3 linked regions of the Astyanax mexicanus genome follow. The protein of the gene in region 1 purifies or fractionates together with the protein of each later gene. This does not show direct contact. Links are inferred from orthologs where the notes say so. Each region holds a gene or a part of one and is shown in the gene's direction. Other genes may lie near its edges.

The links. The genes of interacting proteins can lie anywhere in the genome.
Region 2: the proteins of plk1 (region 1) and farp2 purify together in Homo sapiens (affinity purification with mass spectrometry; 3 studies listed by BioGRID and IntAct, with this or other methods). This does not show direct contact. The link is inferred for Astyanax mexicanus from reciprocal best matches to the Homo sapiens genes PLK1 and FARP2.
Region 3: the proteins of plk1 (region 1) and arhgap5 purify together in Homo sapiens (affinity purification with mass spectrometry; 3 studies listed by BioGRID and IntAct, counting the BioPlex papers as one, with this or other methods). This does not show direct contact. The link is inferred for Astyanax mexicanus from reciprocal best matches to the Homo sapiens genes PLK1 and ARHGAP5.

What each region holds. Positions count from the first base shown.
Region 1 is NC_064428.1:16,135,200-16,139,232, reverse strand, and holds the start of plk1 (serine/threonine-protein kinase PLK1), read left to right. Parts: upstream 1-1,278; 5' UTR 1,279-1,608; coding exon 1,609-1,971; intron 1,972-3,416; coding exon 3,417-3,585; intron 3,586-3,677; coding exon 3,678-3,822; intron 3,823-4,033. UniProt on the Homo sapiens protein: Serine/threonine-protein kinase that performs several important functions throughout M phase of the cell cycle, including the regulation of centrosome maturation and spindle assembly, the removal of cohesins from chromosome arms, the inactivation of anaphase-promoting complex/cyclosome (APC/C) inhibitors, and the regulation of mitotic exit and cytokinesis.
Region 2 is NC_064412.1:49,190,231-49,194,263, reverse strand, and holds the start of farp2 (FERM, ARHGEF and pleckstrin domain-containing protein 2), read left to right. Parts: upstream 1-1,402; 5' UTR 1,403-1,492; intron 1,493-4,033. UniProt on the Homo sapiens protein: Functions as a guanine nucleotide exchange factor that activates RAC1. May have relatively low activity. Plays a role in the response to class 3 semaphorins and remodeling of the actin cytoskeleton.
Region 3 is NC_064421.1:48,490,344-48,494,376, reverse strand, and holds the start of arhgap5 (rho GTPase-activating protein 5), read left to right. Parts: upstream 1-1,590; 5' UTR 1,591-1,852; intron 1,853-4,033. UniProt on the Homo sapiens protein: GTPase-activating protein for Rho family members.

The sequences.
Region 1 (4,033 bases):
AAGGTCAAGAAGTGCACTTGCAAGATTATATCTGTCCCCTCTTGTCCTGGTGACCCCCTCCTTCAAACACTTCCCTCTTGTAGAAGATTAAGAGCTATCAAAGCTAGCACAAATGCCGCTAACATGTCATCAACTGTAGAAAAAGACCTGGCAACTCTCTCTTTTTCATGCACAGTTTACAGCTTAAGTTAATGTATTATTTTCTTCTGAATATTTGTTAATAGCATGTGTATCTGTTCGTTCTGGACTGGGTTTTCCTACAGTGTAAGTAAGTAAGTAAGAACACAGATTATTCCTAACTCTCTCTCTCTCTCTCTCTCTCTAAGATTAACCTAATCCTGAGGTTCTGTTTAGACGACAGTATGGCACACATCATCATTCCATGCATGTGATTTCAAGAATATAATAATAATAATTTTATTATTCTAAAAATTTTAAATGGCCATTTATGTACATAAATGTAAAATTATAAATATTACTTTTTTCTTCTTTTTGTTTTGCTATTGATTATGGTCTATTTATCTTTAAGTAAACAAAACTAATCTTTAAAAAATTATCAATAATTAAAAAAAAGTTAAAAGTTATTTTATTGTATCAATAAATATTGTATGGTTTATGTGTTATACTGTGTTCTTATTATGTCTGTTTATTCATTGACAGACAAAAGTTACAACCAAAATATGTTACAAATACAGCACACGTTTTCAAAAAACTATATATATATATACATATACATTTTAATAATAACACATTTTAAATGTGTAATATTTAAATATATATAACTGAACAGACATAAAAGTGAAAATCATAGTTGTCAATTTCATTTCATGGATAAAATATTTTTTTTCCAATTTAAATGAATAGATAAAACAAGTAGCAAGTATCCTTACTGCAGTCATTATAATAAAATAAAATACAAAATGGACAATAAAATTATATATTTTATAGTGTTTAGTTTTGACCCATATCCTAAATGGGATCATTTCTAAAAATATTTGAATGGACACAGTTAAAGAATACTATATGATGTTTAACACATATATACAAAACCTTATTTTAATGAATGTAAACAACTGTTAGCTTTCGAGCCCTGAGGACTTTAATATACGACACATTTTAAAGCAGCACATCTCCCATGATCCTTTGCCGCTATCGCCTGGATTTCAAATCGCGAGAGCCAATCACAGGCGGGTCCGTGGCCACAGCCAATCAGAGGCGGTGCTCCGGCGAGAGCCAATCAGAGGCGGCGATAACGAATAAGGGCCGAATTTAAAAATGTTGTGTTGGTGCTGCGCTGAGAGACGCTGAGCGGGGACGGGGGTTGTAGAGAGAAGAAGCGGACAGGCGGACAATTTAGCGAGTTTCTGTTTAAAATACCCCGCTTACATTAACAGAAACTGGTGTACCCGAGTGGATTTGTGCTGGCTTGTGTGTTAAACCGGTTCAGGCGCGCTTAGTTCGGTTAGTTTTTATTCGAATTGCTCGGCCGGGCGGCTCGCCCTGTCTGTCCGGGTCTGAACTCGCTGTTTTCTGTTAGCAGTGTCGCAGAGATCCGTGTTTTGTTCGTGTTTCTCTTTAAATTAGCGTTATTTTGAGAGCGTATTCAGTATGAGCGCTGCAGTGGCGAAGGCGCCGAAGCCTTCGGTCAACGTAGACCCGAAGTCTGCGCCCCTGAAAGAGATCCCAGACATCCTGGTGGATCCGCGGACCATGAAGCGCTACATGCGGGGCCGGTTCCTCGGGAAAGGCGGCTTCGCTAAGTGCTACGAGATCACAGACATGGAGACGAAGGAGGTGTTCGCCGGTAAAGTGGTGCCCAAGTCTCTGCTGATGAAGCCGCACCAGAAGGAGAAGATGAGCACGGAGATCGCGATCCACAAGAGCCTCGACAACCCGCACGTCGTGGGCTTTCACGGCTTCTTCGAGGACGACGACTTCGTGTTCGTGGTGCTGGAGATCTGCAGGAGGAGGGTGAGTTATCCTCGCTTAGTTTAGCTGAGTGGGAGTAAAATATAAAGTGATTTTTTAAAGCTTTAGAAACACGTAATAACTGAGGCTAGCTTCACTAGCAAACTGGCTAATCTATCAAACCTAGCTTAAGTTAGCTGTCTCTCAGTCCTCACCAACGGTCGAATTCCTCAGTGAGGGTTAGTTAGCATTAGCCGGTTAGCTAACTGTTTGTTAGCTCTGAGAGGTGTGAAACCTCACTACTGTAAAGTTTAAATGTCATGAATATTATAACAGTGAGAAATTGGTGTCTGTAAGTGGGGTTAAAGTGTTTGTGGGTGTTTTTAAGAACCGTTTTGACCGGCTGTATCCGAGCCTCCTTTCCGAGATGTGGATTTTAAATGTGAGGATGTGACGTCAGAACCTCGACCGAGATGTTTGAAAATTTTCGTGAACTTTTTTTTCGCCCGTCAAAATCGTTAAATATAGTAAATAATGCTCAAGTTTCCACTTGAGAAGTATTTATAATACAGCATATTATAAATGCTATATGAAATACTTTTGTCTTGTTGGTGTTTCCTGCTGGTGTTTTCTCCTTTTTATTAGCTAACTTATCTGTTCTTCCTATTTATTATGTTTTTAACTAACCTAGATATATTGAGTTATATATATTTGCTGTTGTGGTGGAGTCGAAGTTGAACTTTAAGTCGCATTGTAATTTAGTAAAATGTAAAAAAAAATCACCATCTTTGTGCAGGGATTGTATGGTCATGAAAAACCTGGAAAAAACTTAAATATCAGTTTCCAGACCTAAATTAGTTTTGGAATACTAAAGAGAATTTTGAAAGTCATGGTCTACAAATCTGTTTCCATTTATGTATGGAGTATCTATTTCGAGCTAAGAAATGCCTCAGCTCAAAGTTTTTTTAAGTAATTTAGCCCTACACAGTAGAGCTTTTTGATTTTTTTTTTTGTTATTATAGTTTTGTAATTGTATTTTCTTTAGATGCATGTAAAAATACATTTAGGCTGTGTAACTCATGCAGTGGTAGGGTATTTTTTAAATAAAGTGTTTAGTTTTTACAGTAATGCATTTATGAACGTTTCCAGTTTTGCTGTAGATGCAGCAACTGGCTGGGGCACAGCCTTGACCTATTAGACACTTTTGACATGTTTAATTTCTTTTTTCTTTTAGAAACATGGAGAGAAATGACATTAGGTTATTTTATTTTTGCAGTTTGAAGGTGTAAAACATAGTTTTGTCAATTTCCATATCCCCTAAAGCTGCAAGTTTGTAACACGACAAGTTTTATTGTCAGGATTATATTTATCTTTAAGTAAGCAAAAACGTTAACACTATCAACAAGCTTTTTGTAATAGCCCTACAGCAGTGTCCCTATGCTGCTTCTTTGCTGATAATTATTTTATTATTTTAATATTTTTTTCCCCTTCCATTGTTCTTCTGTTAGTCTCTTCTGGAGCTGCACAAGCGCAGGAAGGCAGTGACTGAGCCTGAAGCAAGGTACTTCATGCGGCAGACAATCCAGGGAGTTCACTACTTGCACAACAACAGAGTTATTCATCGTGATCTTAAACTTGGAAATCTTTTTCTTAGCGATGATATGGAGGTGAAGATTGGTAAGCAGGCAAATTTGCTCACAACTTTTTGCCTAAAGTACAGTTCGACTTTACTCGTTACTTTATCCTATAACGCTTTGTTCTCTCCCAAGGTGATTTTGGTCTGGCCACTAAGATTGAATTTGATGGTGAGCGGAAGAAGACCCTGTGTGGCACTCCAAACTACATAGCCCCTGAGGTGCTGTGTAAAAAAGGGCACAGTTTTGAAGTTGATGTCTGGTCACTGGGTTGCATTCTGTAAGTCTGCTTCAGAATTTCTTGTGTTTTTACATTTTAAAAATGTTTATTGAACACTTTTTTTTTATATCCCAACATTTGTATGTACAAACAAAGCATATTGTTTCTCAGCATTGCTATTCTCATCATAAACTTGCATCATATCTGCAATTTTTAGGTTGTGCATGACTTCTGGCCACTTCACCATCACCATGACTTCACCATTATAGTG
Region 2 (4,033 bases), on another chromosome or scaffold:
TGAACACTGGCTTACATGCTCATGTTAAGGTCAGCTGAATTATGGGAGTTGAAGTGAGATCTGATAGTGGGTGCAGATGGACTGGACGTTCCATTTCTGAAGTTTGAAGTGCAGGAATTTAACATTCCACCATCCACAGTGTCACATGTGTAGCGGGAATACACCATAGAAGACTCACAAACTTGTGTTCCATGACTTTTGGCATACTAGAGGGTTAATTCCTGGCTTTAATCATTATGCCAAAAGGTTCATGTTTGCCATTTGTCTCTACAGGGGCTCGATAAAGTGTGTGGTGTGTATGTGCAACTTCATTATCATCATTCTTTTTTTAAGTTTGTTTACATTGAGCGGGGACCCTCATGGAAGAAAATGAAAGCTAAAAAACACAACAACTAATTTAAATTTGTCAAATTTGTTGATCTACATCAGCGATACAGCACCATCCTAAAATAATCGGCAAGTCTTTTTTTTTTTTTTTTGCAAAATTGACTTTTTGTCTAAATCATCTCCTCATAATGTAGTCCACCTATGGTAAAATCTCCTACACCCTCAGTTGATTCAACCCCTTTAGGATAATGGCCTATGTCAAAAGTGTGATTATTATTTATTATGCCTAAATCAAATTAAAATGTGATGTTTAATAGCAATTTTAATAGCTTTCCAGGATGGAGCTACCTTTACTGAACTAATTTCCACGATTCAGGGCTCGTCCCCATTTGATAAGTTATAAGATCTACATTATAATACATAGTTTACTTTTTATTAGTAAAGGCTACAGGCTATAAATATAATAAATATTGCATAGTTGTTTAGTCTTATTATTAAGTTTTATTATATTTCTGCATTTTAGTATCAAAATAGCTGACTTTAAAATCTATAAAGCTAGCTAGAATGCTTGACAATATTAGAAATTCGACATTTTTTAAATGTTAAAATGTTTTTTTTGCGTTTCCTGAATAACTTATTGATTGTTAAATAATTGTATAAGGAAGGTGTCCTAAGGTGCACTCAATTTAAAAAGGTTACTATTTTACTATTATAAAAAGTGAAATAAAATATCCATCAGAATAAATAATAATAAAAATATTATATAGATAAAAATAAATAACTAAAATAGAAATCAATAATTTATTAACTTTACAATAATTTATATATAGAGAAACGTTTTTCTTCATATTGTATTTATGTATTTTATATAATTAAATAATACATTTAACTCACAATTTCTCCTTTTAATTAAACTCAAATAGAGCACAAAAACAATCGTCAGCTATATCCAATGATCGCACTGATTTAAAATATCCCTCAGCCAATCAGAATTCAGAGGGGAATGACCTGTTGCCCAATGCAGGACAAACGCCTTTATGAGACTCTCAGCCAATAGGGGACGAGATCTGCCCGCCACCGTCCAATCAGAGAGCGGCAGTGTGTGCGTCTCTCTGCAGCCGCAGTCGAGGAGCTGGAGAAACACAGCAGGACGGCGAGAGGAAAGGTAAAAGCTGTTTAAACTTTAAAAACCGTATTATTTGTTTATTATTTAATGCGTTTAAAGTGATTTGAGCTGAGTTTAGATCTTTAACAGCGTAGTTTATGATCGCTGATTGAAATCTCGCGTGTTTTTGTGGAGGAGCTCGAGCCCGTAACTTTGTGGTGCAGAGCTGGGAAACACATTAAAACTAATTATCATAAGAACGATGCAGTTCAGAGATTATAATAGAAAAACTGGATTAATGTGTTTGTGGAGGAGAGAATATAGCTTTAGGATGGGAATTATTTGCTTAAAATAATTGTTTATGTGGTTCGTGTCCAATTCTTTTAGTTTTCTCTTGCTTTGTGTTTGTGTGTGTGTTTGTGTGTGTGTGTGTGTGTGTGTGTGTGTGTGTGTGTGTGTGTGTGTGTGTGTGTGTAAAGTAAATCAGATTTGTGTTCTGAATAGGGGTATTGGTTTGGTGAAGTTTCCTCACAGTAAGGCTAGTCAGTGGTTTTGTCTCCACTAGCCGTATAACTATGCAGTATATGTTATTTGTACATATTTAACTATTATTTATTTATTTATTTATTTAATTAATAGTTTTATTATTTAACCTTTAATTTAACCAGGCCAGTCATTAAGAATGTATTCTTATTTGCAATAATAGTGTCTAGTGTCTAAATGTTTATGGACACATTATTTCTAATGAATGCATGTTAGCACCTATTGCTGACACATATGTGCAAATTCACTCACACATACAGTATCTCACAAAAGTGAGTACACCTCCCACATTTTTGGTAACTATTTTTATTATATCTTTTAATGGAACACAGCTAAAGATGACACTTTGATACAATGTAAAGTAGTCAGTGTACTGAGTACTAGGGGTGGGCAATATTATATCGTGACACAGAAATATCATGACATTAAAAATCCATATCGTGATAATAGGGCTGTTCTGTCTTAAAAGTAGTCTATTATTTACTGTGAAGCTTTAGGTTTATTTATTGTATAATTGTTTTAGTTTGCAGTTTATATGCATGCACTAAATATTCTGCAGTATTTTTTGCTGCATTATATTATTTTATGCTATATTATTTACGTTGCCACATTATGATTATACTGTTATACTATTATACTATATTCCTAAAATAAATGAATTATTTTAGTTTTCCTATATCGCCAAGTATATCGCTATCGCAAAAACACTTTGAAATATTGTGATATTATCTTAGAGCCATATCGCCCACCCCTATTGTACAATAGAGTAAATTTTCAGTGCCCTCAAAATACCTCACCACACTGTCTAAATTAATGTCTACCACATTAATGTCTAAACAGCTGGAACCAATAGTGGGTACACCCCTAAATGAAAATGAACCGAAGTGAATATTGTGCACAAAATGTGAATATTTTGTGTGGCCACTGTTATTTTCCAGCACTGCCTTAACACTCTTTGTCATGGAGTTCACTAGAGCTTCACATGTTGCCACTGAAATCCTTTTCCACTTTAAAATCCATTAAAAATCACAAAGATTGTGGACTTAAAGACATTGTGCTCCTCTGCCTTCCATATGAGGATGCCCCACAGATGCTCAATAGGGTTTAGGTCTGGAGACATGAGATACTGTAGCTTGTTTGGGCCATGTAAAGAAGAAGTAGGCCTGTCATCATATTTATTTTATCGATTTATGATTTATCAAACAAACATACATGTACATGACCCCAAAAAATGTGAACGTATAAATGAATTTTACCAACATTTTAAACCAATCTTGCAATAACGGATACATCAGAAAAGATGTATTAGAAACAGAACACCATGCCTAATGCCAGGTAGGCCTGCCACAATAATTATATTATCGATATATTGTGCAGTATATGAACATAACCTCAAACTATTTTTACATGTTTATTTATGTTGGGTATTTAACCATTTATTTGTATACATATTATAGAATATTCTCTTTACAATTAATAAACAATCATTTCTGAGACCATAATCCTATCTCTGGATAGGATGAGCTGGGTTGTTGGGAATGGGGTGCAGTGGAGGTCATTAAGCATCCTGACCTCATGTATGCTTACCTCATTGCTCAAGGCAATCAAATCCTCACAACTATGATGCCTCAAATCTAGAATTAAGCCTTCCCTCGACAATTACTCCAACAAAAGCAGGATAAACTCAACTCTATTTAATACTCTTTTTAAGAATATTGGGAGCAGATGGGTCATTACGTTTATCCATTTAATGTACATTTTCTATAGAGATCCCAACTGATCAGATACTGATGGTTCTGTTTCCTTTTATTCTCTGCACACATGCAGACCATCACCCTGGTGTTTACATCTCAGTTTAAACACACAAAATATTCCACTATACAGTGCTGATTTGAAAGTATAAAGAACTGTAGTGCAGTAAACTCAGAGCGATGTGGTGGATTATGTTCTATTCTCGACGCAGCTCTAATGATTTCCATCACAGCATATTTGTGGTGAGCGTTTGGCACTCTGCTGCCTACCCCAAACTCAGCTCCTCAAACCCATCAGCTCCAACAC
Region 3 (4,033 bases), on another chromosome or scaffold:
TATGAGTTATAATTATTGCACGGTAATGCCTGATGACTGACAAACCTGAAAATAAAACAGCTTAAAAACAAAACCACAGACCTCAGGCTGGAGTCTCAGGGTCAGATTGAAAGTTATGAACAGAAAAGGACAGTGTAAACAGGACGGGGCGGCCTGCTCTTCTTGGGGTGTTTTGTATTGCATTTGAATTGCGGAGAGACAGCTGAGCCCACACTCAAACAGGCCTGTGGGACAATAGGACTTCCAAGGACAAATATAGTAAAATATGTTTTACAAAACAATAAAAGAAACAAATAGGTTAGTATAGTCTGCAAATGTACTATTTCACAAACAGACAGTTTCTCACTAAACAAATAGCACTGTGCTTAAAAAAAAAAACTCTTCAGTGAACAATGGAACAATACGGTGTGTTCCTTCATACTGATATCAGTGAAAAAGAAATGAGCAGTCTGATTACAGTGCATTTAGTTTACAGCAGAGTTAGTAATATACTGTACATAAATTAGACTATGTACATAGTTACTTAGATATCAAATTTTACTTTTTACTGGATGAGAATATGCTGTAAAATATGACACGACATGAAGGCGTAAAATAAAACTTTATAAATGTGAATACAATGCTAATATATACATATGTAAGTGATTACAATATTTAAGCCAAAGGATACATTTATTGGGAATAGTATGCAATTGAAATGAGGCTGCATTATGCTGTAGGGCAACATTTAGCCTAAATACAAGTTGAGATACGAGATCGTAGTATTTTGAGGGAAATAATGTAGTTCTAACTGCTTGGGCTGCAGTTTATGAAAGAGAGCATGGAGGGAGGAAAAGGAGAATTTTCCACTCATGATCTGTTAAAGGGCTGCTGTGATTGCCATCAGTTATCTACATTTCTAACCTGCTGATTATTAATGCTCTAGTGTTACAAATAGATAATATAGTGTTCCCGCTATCGGGAAACGTTACTTAGCGGGACTTCCCCCTACATTTTATCTTAGTTTTTGTGACCAAAAAAACACACAGTAAATACCAGTTGTGAATATAGGAAATAAGGGATGACTGTTTGTATGTTACATTTAAGGTGGAACGGAAATCTGAATAAGACAAATACAAGCGCTATTTGTTTTTGGTATTATATTCAAAAACGTTTTTTTTTCTATTAAAAAAATCAAATGAACAAATGATACACAGATTAAAAACTTACTGTGAGAGAGAGAGAGAGAGAGAGAGAGTATAGGGAAAAAAGAGAATTAGGGAAAAGAGAAAGAGATAGAAAAAGAGAGAGAGTATGGTGGAAAAAAGAGAGAGAATTAGGAAAAAAGAAAGAGAATTAGGGAAAAGAGAAAGAGAGAGAGTGGGAAAAAGAGAGAGCGATTTAGGGAAAAGAGAAACAGAGAGAGTTATTGTGGGAAAAAAAGAGAGAGAGAATTAGGGAAAGGGAAAGGGAGAGAGGGAGAGAGTGTGTGTGGATGAGTAAGAGGGAGAGAGTGGGAGAGTGAGGGAGAGAGAGAGAGGGAGAGAGTGGGAGAGTGAGGGAGAGAGAGAGAGGGAGAGAGTGGGTGAGGGAGGGAGAGAGAGAGAGAGAGCCGGATCTATCCGTCGCCATTACCGACTGGAATGAGAGGGGAGGGAGTCGGGCTCGGATTACACACACAGCTTCACCAGATCCTGTAAAAATCGGTTAAAACACAGTTTTTAACGGCACTATCGCGGATTGTTCTCTTCGCCTGAACACTCGGAGTATCCGGAGATCTTTTCCCGGGCGGCTCTGAGGGGAGAGAGCGGGAATATCGGGAATGCCTCCTCCTCTGTGTGGAGCCTGTGGGAGCTGGGAGCGACCATGTTAGGTAGGGGAATGCGTTTGGAGGAGTGTCGTGACTTTTCCCACTGTGTTTCTCTCTGATTTGGGCCGTTCGAGTTCGGAGGAGTACCGAAACCGCGGGATTTCTGTGTTTCTGGCTGATTTTACCTCAGATTCTCTTTATTAGCCTGCAAGCTAACTAGCCTAGCTAATATACTCAGCGCAGGGACACTTAGCCAGGCGGCTAGCGCTAGGTTAGCTATGTTAGGTTAGCTGGACGGCTAGCGTTGGGTTAGCTAGGGAGCTAACACACACACACACACACACACACACACACACACACACACACACACACACACACACACAGAGGAAGCGTTGTCCAGGCTAAAGGCCTGTATCTAGGATGTAAGTTAGTTAGCTCCATATTCCAGTATCCAGCTTTAACAAACAACTAATTAGCTAGCTACCAAGCTAAAAACAAATTTTAAAATATAATATTTATTTTTTAAATATCCATCTCCGTCCTTAACGAAATATAAGTGTCCTAAACGAGTGAGTTAAAGCCCATCTATCTGGTCGGAGGTGTGGTGTTTCACAAAGTACAGCTCTGGAAAAAAAATGAGAGACCACTTAAATTTTTTTTTACCAAATTAAAAACCTCTGGAATATAATCAAGAGGAAGATGGATGATCACAAACCATCAAACCACCAAACTGAACTGCTTGAATTTTTGCACCAGGAGTAAAGCAGCATAAAGTTATCCAAAAGCAGTGTGTAAGACTGGTGGAGGAGTAACGTTACATGATGCCAAGATGCATGAAAAAAGCTGTGATTAAAAACCAGGGTTATTCCACCAAATATTGATTTATAAACTCTTAAAACTTTATGAATATGAACTTGTTTTCTTTGCCTTATTTGAGGTCTGATAGTGTAATAAAACTCAATTGGTAGCTAGTTAGATAGCTTGTCATTCTAATATGACTCGTTAGAATGACTTTATAGATCTGTAGAACTAATTATATTACTTGTAAACACATTTCATAACCAACATCTTGTGGGTGGTTGGTGTAGCGCAGAGAATAATACCACCGCCTGATTGTGAGCTACCACATAATGTGGGAGATTGAGGTTCAGTTCCTTGGGCAAGACTCCTAATACCACATTGATGCGCATTAGAGGGCAAGTGATACAAAAAAGGTTTTATTTCAAAAAGTAAGAAAGGAAAAAATAAAATATAGATATATAATGATCAAGAAATACCTTAAATTCTGAATTGTGAATTAATTTATTGGCTAAATTATGTTATAGAAACACTCAGCCATACATAAAGTTACATAGAAAATGTAGCCATAGACCCAAAGATTTACAAGCACTACAAAAATGGATCAATACAGCTAAGTAGAGAGTTGTATTTAGTTAGCTAATGCTAGCTAATTAGCAGAGGTTTCAGTTTTGACTATTGAGTATTGCAACACGCTCCATCCTAAATGATTAACTAAGCTAACTTACAGGTCCTCCTGGTTTTTATGACAATAACTATAATAGTGTAGTCATCGAGGAAACATCTCACAGAGTCTCCTGTAGTGGTTTTATGACTGTTATCAAATAGGTGTGTTTCTCTGCCTCTCCTGTGATATTGCTCCCATTAATCCAGTGCTCTTCACTGGAGGTCACTGTGCTGCACCATTTAATGTTGCCTCTGCAGCCCAACACACCCTGAAACACTAAACCGTGGCTTGGCTTTATTCAGGACTGAGTCTAAAAACCCTCAGAACAGCATGTTTTGTCTAAAATCCAGGCATCGTTTTTTAAACCTAGGGATACAAGCTAACTGATTCAAAGCATATGTACATCAGCCAATACAGCAGAGTATTGCCTTTTCTTTAGCTGAATGTGGTCACCTTTTCTGCCCACTCTGGTGCCTCTTTACTGAATAATAATCATGCTTTCTTTGCTTCAATTGTGTTCAGAAGACACTGCACTGATGATGCCATTGTCTCACATTTTTCACATTATGTAATTTTTTCAGTAAACTTTTGCATGAATTACTTTTTTTTAAATCTACAATTCTATCTGATCCTATTCTGCCTCTATCCAGTAAATAAATCTGTCACCTGTAATTGCTTATATCTTGAACTAGGGGTGTGCCATATCATAGTGTACACAATGATTTTTAAAAACGCAAACGTTTAAAATTTTTTTGAACAATATTATACCCCAATGTTTT